Linked DNA regions of Nothobranchius furzeri. The protein of the gene in region 1 interacts with the protein of each later gene in a pairwise test. Links are inferred from orthologs where the notes say so. Each region holds a gene or a part of one and is shown on either strand. Other genes may lie near its edges.

Region 1 (3,654 bases):
GTTAAAAGATTTATTTCTAAACAATTTAAACAAGACTAACTTTAAACACTATGTGATGATGAACTAAGGTGGAGTAAGACTGAGGTTGGTCTGTGTGTGAAATATGTTCAGAACCAGCAAATCCAGAGAAACGATTAGTTCTGATGGGAGTGAAATGGTGTTTCGCTCTAAGCTTTGGTTTGGAGATTATAACACACATTGAGACGCCATCTGTCAGTCTACGTACCCCAATGGAAGTCCCCGTTTAGATCTGGAATGTCGGGGGTCCAGCTTGGACCCTCTTGGAACCGACGACTGTAGATATGCAGCGGTTGCTGACCCTTCCAGTCTTGAGTTACTCCCAGGTCACAACAGTTTATTGGCATCAGCAAGACCCTGAAGGGGGTCGTGATGGTTCAGCTTTTATTCTAAAGGAACCGTTGCAGCAGGTGGAACATGCAACAGATTTAATCCAGCTTGTCGTTAGGTTATTTCGGCTTTAAGAGGAAAGTTACGGATTGGCCACTCTGATAACTTCTCTAGAACGCTTGGAACTCCAGTTAAGATGACGTGGGGCATAGTTTTATAACGTGGATGTTTTGATTAATGGTCGAATCAGAATTTGACACAAAAGACGATTTAACAAGCACCAACAAAACCACGCCTCGCGTCAGATCTGGAAGGTTCTGATTGGATCAGAAAAAGGAAATGTGTCATGTGACTTAACATTACGTGTGATCAGTCTAGTGTAAATATTTAAATTTATATTACTTATCATAGGATTATAATATCAATATTCTCATTTCACACATTGATTGAACATTAGCTTCACATGATTATTTGGACTAACAGAAGTTATTTAATTATTATTTAAAGAGAAAAGTTCTTTCTAAAAGAGTTCTTCTTTTTTCGTTCTTGTGCTGTCTGGGGAAGTAACAGTTTAGATAAGAGCACAGAGTATGAGTGGCCTTGGCCCACATCTTGTAGATTAGGCTTGTGTCAGAAACTTGTGTTTCTGCTTGGGCAGAGCAAATAGAGCAGGGCCTTTTAGGTCAAAGATGGGCAATTCATCACGCTACACTATGTACTCTTGTGTGATATCTTGTGTGCTATCCTGCTGTACCTGAGCCATTGCAATAATGCAATTTCCCCACTGAGGGACTAATAAAGGTATTCTCATTCTTATTCTTAAAAGAACAAGATTGCAAATATGAGGAATCTGTTAAGCGGCCAGTCTCAGCCATAGAGACAGGGTGGAGAGCTCGGACATTCAGGAGAGCGTCAGAGTAGAGCTGCTGCTCCTCTACATCGAGAGGAGCCACATGAGGCGTTTCAGGCATTAGCGTAGGCGTTTCAGGCATTCGCATAGATTTGACATTGGGGGAAACTTGTAAGTCTACCATCCTCTCAGGACCTTTGGTTACACTCACTTTCGGCCTTGTGTGTCTCATTGCAAACACAGGGGTCTTGCATTTGACTGGTACGTTTTCCTTCAAGCTTTGGTGCTGCTAACAACCAGCGTAGTTTGTCTCACGTGAGTCTCCCGTGATGGCACGCGCAGCCAATCACACTAGTCATATGAGGAGAGAACGTCAGTTAACCCTCTCTGCACCTCTAGGGTAATGAGACATTGAATGGCTTGTTTTTTAGTGGAGGAGGTCAAATTATTGGTGGTGGGGACACATCACCTCCATCCATGCCAAACCTACGCCCCTGTGTCGTGCCAGTAGGAGGCCCCTGAGTCAAACCAGGGATTGTATCTGCACGTTGGCTAGGGATCGTCTTGATACTGTCGTTGGAGCTTGTGGAAGTTGCCGGGAAGAGAACAGTGTGCTCCTCTGCTGGAGCTGCCGCCCCATAACCTGCACTCAGATAAAATGGATGAACGAATGTATATACATTTATAGATGTGGGAATTTAATATGTCAACTACGATCTGGGGTTTGGGTTTTGCTCTTGGTCCTGGTGCCTCTATAACCTGACCTTAGATAACAGGAGGAAATGATGATCCCAATAAAACTCCCATCAGAGATCTGATCCCAGGATGTTTGTAGATTTTTCAGCTTTCTGAATTAAAAGTGTACAGATAGAATTTGAACGATCTAATATCAAGCTGCAAAATTAGGCACTGGGTCAAATTTAAGAGGATTTCTAAAAGTTTTTTTTACTACAAATTTTTGACCAATTTTCTTGGTTGTCTTACTGATGATGGTTTACGTTAAAAAGTCTGTTCACACAAAAATCCGTCTGATTTTATTTTGTAAAACAGTCAAAAACTCACCACTGAAATAAACTGATGTTAGAGGTGCTTCCTGTTTTATTCACATCCATATGGAAAAGGTCAGAGATGTTGGTCTTTCTGCTACCTGGTTATAAGGGAGACTGTCTTCTGTTTCCTTGGACAGATGGAGATGTCTCGGCTGACACATGATCATCCCTTGGCAGGGGATACCAAGATGGAAGACAGTGGGGGGACAGAACCTGGAGGAGAAGACAAAGCAAAGATGTCAAACACGATGGAACAGAGTACCCAGCAGTGGCCTGGAGACCATAAGACAGATGGGCAAACAGAGAGACAGGCAGGACAGATGGGAGGACAGAAGGTTAAAGGTGACGGGATGAGTGTGAGGTCCGATTCATCTCTTCGCGAGGCATCTAGTTGGACAGAAAGTGAGCGACAGCTGAAGACAGAACAAGGAAAAAGGGGGGGAGGGGGAGAGGAGGAGGAGCTTAAAGGTGAGGAGTTGGGAAAAAAGGAGGAAGCTGAAGAGAACCACCTGCCAGGAAAAGCAGCTCTGGTCTTCAGTCCATCTGTAACTGTCCTCCCCTGCCCCTTGTCATCCAGAGACACTGAGGAAGTCTGGGAATCAGAGAGGAGTCCCTTTCTGAGTCCTCATGGAGACAACTACAGCCAACATGGCTACCAAGATCAATTTGCCGAGGACGCGCCCCCTGCCAAGTGTAAGTGTACCTGCTTTTTTTCACCGATTGGCCTATTGGCCTTTCTGTCATTGTTCCATTGTTTTTTTTTATATCTATTTATTGATTCAGCTGGATGTCATGAACATTTGAAATGACATTTAAAAACTACTTGATTTGATTTTGTGAACGGCTACACCTACCAGAAGTAGGGAAAACCGGGAATTCTGTCCGATTGTTTGTGTAATTAGCTAGCAGTGACCTAAATTCAGCCGACACTAAGAAAAAGGTAGCCTTAAAACCTGAACTACATTTAATTTGTAGTAGTTGACATATTTTTATGAGGCTGGTTTATCATTTTTGTCGTTGAATATGGAATTCAGCCTAGAGAAAAAGTTGCTGCTGTTCCTCAAACGGAAGATAAATTAAGAGCACAGTGTTCTTAGTTTATCTTGACTAATGCAGACAGAGGGCCGAAAATGATGCGACTAAATAGATAAATTATTTAAAGAATTTGAATGTGTTAAATTATTAAGTCCAAACTTGGTCTCAGTTTCTATATGTTTTACCTATCTGGTGGGGCTTGCTGACACTGTTTTACCCATTTCAGGTGACTGTGGTTGCCCTGACCGAGATGCCCTGAAAATGGGCGTCTCCTTGATGACATCAGCGCTGTTTTTCCCATTTCTGGTGTGGGGCGGGTTTGTCTTCCTGCCGTTTGATGCACCTCTGCTTGATAGCGCCCCCCTCAGGCTT
Region 2 (3,278 bases), on another chromosome or scaffold:
TTTAGAGTAAAACAGGAAAAAGTGTTTGCTAAATACGGGCCAGGAAGGACTTCCTGTCTTCTACTCCTGAGCCTCCAGCAACCCCAGAGCACATACCCACCTGTCATTATGAAACTAAACCTTTTTCAGAAAGACGTCACCACATGCCTGACAAAACCAGTAGCAAGGAGTTTTGAACTGATTTAGCTGCAATCACACCGTAGAGCACATCTGCACAGTTCCTCATCACGCTGCATGGAAACTTCAGCGAATACTTTCTGGGTTTTGATGACACTTGTCAGCTTCTCCAGTTTGCATCAGCCATCCCAGAATATTTCACTTTACTGAGTTAACAGTAGCTGATTACCAAACCTATTTCCAGACAGTTGTGCAGGAAAGCCACGTGTCTCTGAATGTTCCGTTTCACCTCACTGATGGAAGGTTTAACACCGGATGTGATGCAGTGATCTCTACGGGTGTCTGCAGAATTTTCTCATTATTATGAGGCTGGAAATGTTATTTTTTCAATTAAAGAACTGGATAACCACAAAGCAGCATTTAGTTTTCATAAGGACATGTTTACACACTGCCTGGTCAAAATAGGTCACACACATCAATATCTCATTATAAATGTATGGTAAAAGATTCACACACACACCTGTTTGTAGTAATAATGGCTTTATTTCTCAAAGCAAAGCTGATCTGAATTTTAAAATGACAAATTGTACACTTTTAAAATCTTATTAGAAAACAAAAGTCAGTCTAGGACAATTTTTTTCCTCCAAACGACCAACATAAGGGTTGAGGTGGAGGAAACAGTTGCAGCAATACTTTCTCATTACAGATTTTTCCTCGTCTACCTCCACAAAAACACCTCCCTTTACTAGAGTGGGTAGTACAAAAGATCAACAGAAACGCATCCTGCAGCTTCAAACCACCGTGTTACACATGTATGAAATAATAAATCATAACCTGAGCAAGAATCAGAGACGACACAAATGCCACCGCAATTCATGGGTTAACGATCGAAGGCCTCTATTAGTAAAACTGACGTCACGTCAAATGTTTAGGATTCAGGAATAAAACATAAAAACAGGCAGAATGAAAGAATTATGTGTGACTAAAGCAATAAACAGCAGAGTGAAATGCTGAACACCACTCTAATGTTTTAGTTACTACCAACTTAACAACTAGAGCAGGAAAATGTATTAGAGCAGCTTCCTGGTGACATCAGTCGCTCTCAGGTTACAATTTTTGGCGAATAACGAGGTTGGAATAAAAAATAACACCATCAGGAGGGAAATTCCTCCTGTAGAAGACATGTACAGTACGCTCACTTGGTCAGTGTGTCTGTTTTATGTTACGCTGAGGCATGGCCCTAAATACATCTCATGCATTCGCTCTGTACAGTTGCAATGATTAACCTTTGACCTGCTGGTCCAACATCGCCCCCGGGCCGCTCTCGAGACAGTGATGCAGGTGTGTTGGAGTCAGAGACTCGTGGATCAGACGGCTTAAACTTTGTCACCTGTGCAAACATGGAAAAAGAGGTTTAGACACTAGAAGGCAGATCTGCGTCGTGTCAGGGTGCTGAACCTACTGCTGGGAACTGCCGTTTGCTGTTCGCCGCTTCGGAGTTGCAGGTAGATGGTGTAGGTGTCATATGCATAAATGATGCCCGCAAACAAACCAAAGACCTATAAAACACACACACACACACACACACACACACACACACACACACACACACACACACACACACACACACACACACACACCTTAAAGGAGGTAAATGGAACACAAAAACCAAAGAAACATCTAGTGTGTACAGGTTGCAGTTGCAACAACAGAACGAGGTTTCCAGCCATCAGGAAAACCAGGTTCGCTGACGCTACGTGAAATGTTTTATTTGGGTCCATCTGTTGTAGGCTCCACCTTAACTTTTTCTGGTTTTAGATCTTTTACGGTCGCTCCTCTTCTGAAAAGAATAACGACATCTTCTGGGTTCAGAAGCAGCTGCTTGACTTGCCGAGTGCGCCATCTTCCACAGTGCCAGCCTCGCTGTGCCGAACGGACCATAGACATGAATACGTAGACTATACGTAGAGTTGTGCCTTTTCGGCGCTCGGACCAAGTCTTTGGAATGAGCTGCCAGCCGACGTAAAGCAGGCCAAATCACTGGAGACCGTTAAAAGCCGACTGAAAGCACATCTGTTCTCGTTGGCGTTTGGACACTGAAGCTGGGATTGCATGAGCAGCATCACTTTGAATGTGTCTGGATCTGATTCTGGAACAAGGACTGATATGGATTGCGAACTTGTACTCGGGATTTCTTATTGTATTTTAAATGGTTATATGTCTGTTTTATTGTTGTGCTTGTTATTGGTGTACAGCGCTTTGTTTGTCCGGTTTGGGCATGTGAAAGCGCTTTATAAATAAAGTTGATTTGATTTTGATTTGAAATCACGAGATACATGTGCATAGATCCATTTACACACACACAAATCTAGATACACACACATAGATCTTTTGAGACTTTTTTCTCCCCATAGTGGACCCCCCATTGGGCGCTGGAGAGCGTAACAGCCATATTGGATGGGTCTCCTCACTCCAAACTTAGCTGGGTGAGCAACTATGCCGGGTTCTGTGCAGCCTATGGTTGCAACAACCAGCATACAAATAAAAGATCACGTGGGATCACTAGTGACTTTTCTAGCCTTCCCGAGAGGATTTTAAATATTTATTTCGTTTTATATTAAAATGTTTATTTATCAGGTTATACCATGTGTCTGACTTTGTGAAAAAGTTTGATAAAATGTGCTTTTTAGTTGAGTAAGCACCATCCTCAGTAGAAATGAATGCACTGGGGGCAAATGGAGACCCATCTAAGATGGCGGCCAGCAACTACAGCAGCTCCAATAGGCAGCAGCAGTCGACGGGGCGTCTACATATTTGTGTCTGTGGAGCGTACGGTTTGGTAACCCACAACGGTGCGCTCTATTGGCTGGTAGATGTAAACATAAAACCAGTGTGGTGCCCATCCAAATACATATTTATTCCTTTAATTAAAAGTGAGCTTTTAAAGAAAATGCTGTACCTTCATTCTGCACACCTGTAAACGACCAGTGGAGGCATTCTTTTTTAAATATAGCTTTTTATTAAACTGTTCCATATATCTGTACAAAGCATATTATGGAGTTCTTTGCACAGAATCCCCCTCACATGTTTATCTCAGCAACTTTATTCTTCAAAAGTTTGAGTCGTTTCAGGGCTCTGTCACTTTAAGAAAGCAAGCCGCT
Region 3 (4,320 bases), on another chromosome or scaffold:
TGTTTTACAAGCCTGTGCTAGTTCAAGGTTAAGTGAAATTAAGTGTAAGACTCTTTCAGTTTAATAATTAAAATTAAGACAAACCTAGATGGAACTGACTGGATCTGCCTCAGAGACTGTACTGACCAGCTTTGTGAATGCTCAACCTGAGACTTCTTCTGGAGCAGATCCTCATCCTGCGAAAGACCTCCTGTGTGGTTCCAGTTCCCAAAACATCACATCCCAGGGAACCAGACCACTATAGACTAGTCGCTTTGACCTCCCACCTGATGAAGACTATAGAAAGACTCATCTTCACCCATCTACACGTGTCCCAGGGGTTTAGTAATCAATCCCCCTGCAAATGGTAGGTTGCTGGTTTGAACTCGAGTTTTCAGGTTTTTTAATTGATTATTAAGGCAATTTTGAAAACCTGTCAATGCACTGCAGTGCATACTTTAATGAAACGTCTGCAGTTTTTGTGCTGAAGTTAATTAATATCACTATCCCTGGCATCTTTATAAAACAAACTGATGCCCTTGCTTATGTTCTTTGGTGAAAGGACCCAATGTGATTTATTTATTTTTTTCATGGGGCCCAAAATCCCTGGCGGTGCCTCTGCATGACCCGAAGGGTCGGAACCTATGGTGGTATTTCAAACTGTCTTTGTGCGCAGTTGGACAGAGCGTAAATCAATCAGAGCAATGAGCGACAACATCAACAGGGCAGTCCACCATACACAGTCAACGAAGAAGAAAATGCATAATTTTTCTAAATAAATCAATCAAGCACTTCTATCTGTTCAACACCATCTTGATGATTTTTCTGCTAAGTCCACCCAACACGGAGTGCTGTGAGTGGCCTGACTTCAAATTGTTCGGGCAATGGCAGACCTGCTTGGGCCTGGGGCTATAATGGAGCATGGCTAGACCAACCTGCAAAGCAAAATCTCTTGCTTCTGCTGCAGTTTATCAAGGTTTCTAGGCTAGTCACTTACCCTAATGGAGAATGACTCCCATCCTGCCAAGATTTTTTGCACCACCCCCAACACCACCATTTAAATTTTTCTAGATCTTCCCCTGCAACAGTTACCATGATAAATCTACAGTTTACATCCTTACATCAAGCTAATGCTGTCAATGATGAACTCTATATCTATCACATTCTCCTTTTTAGTGAAACAGACATGTTTATTAGAGGTCATAGAGACTGGTGAGGCGTTTCCTGGTCCACTAAAATTGTTTTTTTCCCCTCAGGTAAATTATTTTATAATAACTATTTAAAAAGATTCTTAAACGTTTATTAAAACTCACTACAAGGCATTTTTTACCCTTTACTTGTTTCCGTTTGTTTATGTTCTGTGCATTTACCCACAATGCACAGCGGTACAGCCACGTAAACGTGACCAATCGCTGCAGGCAGCTCCCTGCAAGACTTTCAGGTTTCTACATAACAGATATCTGCATGATGCTCCTCTCCTTCGGCAGATATTCGCTGCTTCATAACGGGCCCAGTTTTTCCTAGCTGTGAGTGCCATTTGGATATGAGTAACACTTTTATTTAATTGCTAGAATGTATCTACTGGGTATCTCACTAGCTTGATTTAGCTAAGCTAACGTGAGCTTCTTCAGTGGCTCGCTGGCTAATCTGGATTTTAATTAGTTTGTTTTAGTTCACATATTTACGCAGTTGTTTCCTTTTATAGTATGGTTTTGGTGTGTGTAACTAGGTAATTTTCTCTGTTTTACGTTATAACGGAAGTTGTTATTTTCCGGTAGAGAAGTTCAGCGATATAGCTAGCTAGCGTATACATCAGCGCTACAGTTTGATGTTTTATTTTGTTTTAGTTCATCTCAATATTGAAACGTTCAATCAGACATGAACTTCTGTTTTTATCTTTGCCACCAGTACAATGAATGTAAGCGCTAGCATTGCGTCAGATCACTTCCTCTGCGTCTCCTCGCTCATCCGTGGAGCTGTCCGTGGTTCTGACTCAACCTGTCTTTGGATGAGCAGGTTCTAAAATAAGCTTTAATAAAAAAAAAATTAAAGATTCTCAACTTCTAATGTCAGGGCAATAACGGAAATGCACAGAAACTCAAGACCAAATAAATACCGAACCATGATTGAATAATTAATCTTTCTTAAAGTTCCATAATTTTAAGGTGGTGTTAAATTCAAAAACATTCAATTAAACTTTATTAATAAAGTTCTTTTAAAGAGCAAGTCACCCCCAAATCAACTTTTTTTCTGATAAACTACATAAATGTGTGTCTAATTGTGCTGCAGACACGTGTAGTCAATAGTTTAGCACTTTAGTGCTTTTTAGTTAAAATTTTAATTTTCTACCTAAAACTGTCAGTGTTGTGCCGTTGTCAGGTAAAAACTCTGCACTGCATTTGAATTTAAATCTGCCACCGCTATTGGCTAAGAGGTATGCTATGATGTAAACTGGTACATTATGATGTCACAATGCCATTGTGAGCCTGTGTGTGTGTATTTGTTAGCGGCTCCGCCCTCTCGGTCTGCTAGGCAACGGCATTTGTTGCGTTTTTCAAACATGAAGAGGGAGTGAAGTAAGTTGCTTGTAGGGGGTGACTTGCTCTTTAATGCAAATTGGTGTGACGGCAATTGAAGCAAACGAGATAACAGCAGCTTCAGAGAGAGCACACACACTTGCACACACTGGAATAATAATCTTTGTTCAACTTCAAGATGGTTTTAGTCGATAATTTCTTTTTAGGAGATATTTTAAATAGTTTTTTAAATAATAAGACGCTCCAGCAGCGTCAGGATCTACTGAGAAATCCACCTTACATGAAACAATTGCTTGTGGTCATTTGTGTGCTGTGCATTAGCTCCCAGATAAAATCATGTCAGATAACAAACAAGTATTAGGCCATGCAGATTTTTTTAAACTTGTGAATAAATGTAGGTTGATCATAATTTTTATGCTAATAAAATAAAAATAAACTCTCTGCATGGATAAATCCAAGTAAGTTAAATTTTAACTAGTATTGAAGAGTTAACATTTGATACTTCAGAAAGCTATAATTGTGTTTAAGGTCATCCATGATAGAAAACTGGTGTAATGAACATCACCTGAATCTGCCTTAAAGGTGCAATATTTATTTATTCAGCACATTCATTGAGCAGTTACATTTGTTGTATTCTTTCAAAATTCACAACATTACAACAACAACGCTCAAATGGAGTAGGCTGAAGCAAAGAAGCTTATGTGCACCTACCCCACATTACAATATTATACAATTTACAATATTAGACTTTTTGACAGTAAATGTTTTGTTAATGAACCTTTCATGCATATTTTGTTCATTTTATATTTTGTACTGTTCTTTTATATAACAACACATAGTCAGAATAAAACCAAGAAGCTTTTCCATCACATATTCTCACCATATTTCTCAATAACAGACATCTTATATTGTCTTTTAAATAGTAATAGACTAGCAGCACTCTTTAAGTTGTCATCTAAACCATTCCAAAGCTTAACACCTCTACTGGATATGCAGTGAGTATGAAAGCATATATGTAAGAATATAGTGAGAATTTTATAGTGAGAAGAGTCTAATGTTTCAGTCCTTTTGAAAGGAAGGTTATACTGAAACATATTTCCAATCCAGCTGGCTGCGGGGATTGTCAGTTTTTCACTTTTCAAAACAAAGGAAGGAGGGATGTAGCTCCTGTTTACCATGAGCGAAAGAAAGAAAGAAAATTTTATTTTATATAGTGCAAGATGAAAATCATGAGGCACTTCACAAGAACAGAAAATTCTAAATAATAAAACAGATTTTAAAAAATGATTAAAGTCATGGTTAAAATGAGAAAAAAAAACATTTTTTTTTGTGATTAAAAATGCAAGGAGAGGGAAAGAGGCAAATCAGCAGATCCCGGGAAAGGCGGAGTTGGTAGAAAGAGCAGAATAAGGAGAGGATGGTGGTGAAGGTCACACCAAAGCCTGAACAGGTGAGTCTTCAGCTGCTTTTTAAAGGAGTCCACTGATCTCAGGCTCAGGGGGAGAGAGTTCCAGAGTCTGGGGGCCAGAGCAGCAAATGATCTGTCACCTTTGGTCTTTAGCCTGGTGCTGCACAACCAGTAGGCTTTGATCACTGGACCTCAGGGACCTGCTGGGGGTGTAGGGACTAAGAAGATCACCAAAGTAAGATGGTGCTTGTCCATGTAAGGCCCTATAGACCAGAACCAGGATCTTGAAATGAACCCTGAAGTTGACTGGCAGCCAGTGAAGCTGGAGGAGAAGCAAGGTGCGGGGGTGTCGTGTCTCTTGTGAGCTAATACTGCTGCACAGACAATTATAATTTG

The links.
Region 2: the proteins of tmem79b (region 1) and plp2b interact in binary tests that used the Homo sapiens proteins (3 or more experiments, as listed by UniProt). The two-hybrid records come from large-scale screens. The link is inferred for Nothobranchius furzeri from reciprocal best matches to the Homo sapiens genes TMEM79 and PLP2.
Region 3: the proteins of tmem79b (region 1) and sec22a interact in binary tests that used the Homo sapiens proteins (3 or more experiments, as listed by UniProt). The two-hybrid records come from large-scale screens. The link is inferred for Nothobranchius furzeri from reciprocal best matches to the Homo sapiens genes TMEM79 and SEC22A.

What each region holds. Positions count from the first base shown.
Region 1 is NC_091745.1:66,345,880-66,349,533, forward strand, and holds part of tmem79b (transmembrane protein 79), read left to right. Parts: intron 1-2,384; coding exon 2,385-2,940; intron 2,941-3,508; coding exon 3,509-3,654.
Region 2 is NC_091755.1:41,892,446-41,895,723, forward strand, and holds the end of plp2b (proteolipid protein 2b), read right to left. Parts: intron 1,677-3,278; coding exon 1,580-1,676; intron 1,508-1,579; coding exon 1,494-1,507; 3' UTR 641-1,493; downstream 1-640. UniProt on the Homo sapiens protein: May play a role in cell differentiation in the intestinal epithelium.
Region 3 is NC_091754.1:31,841,901-31,846,220, forward strand, and holds the start of sec22a (vesicle-trafficking protein SEC22a), read left to right. Parts: upstream 1-1,369; 5' UTR 1,370-1,505; intron 1,506-4,320. UniProt on the Homo sapiens protein: May be involved in vesicle transport between the ER and the Golgi complex.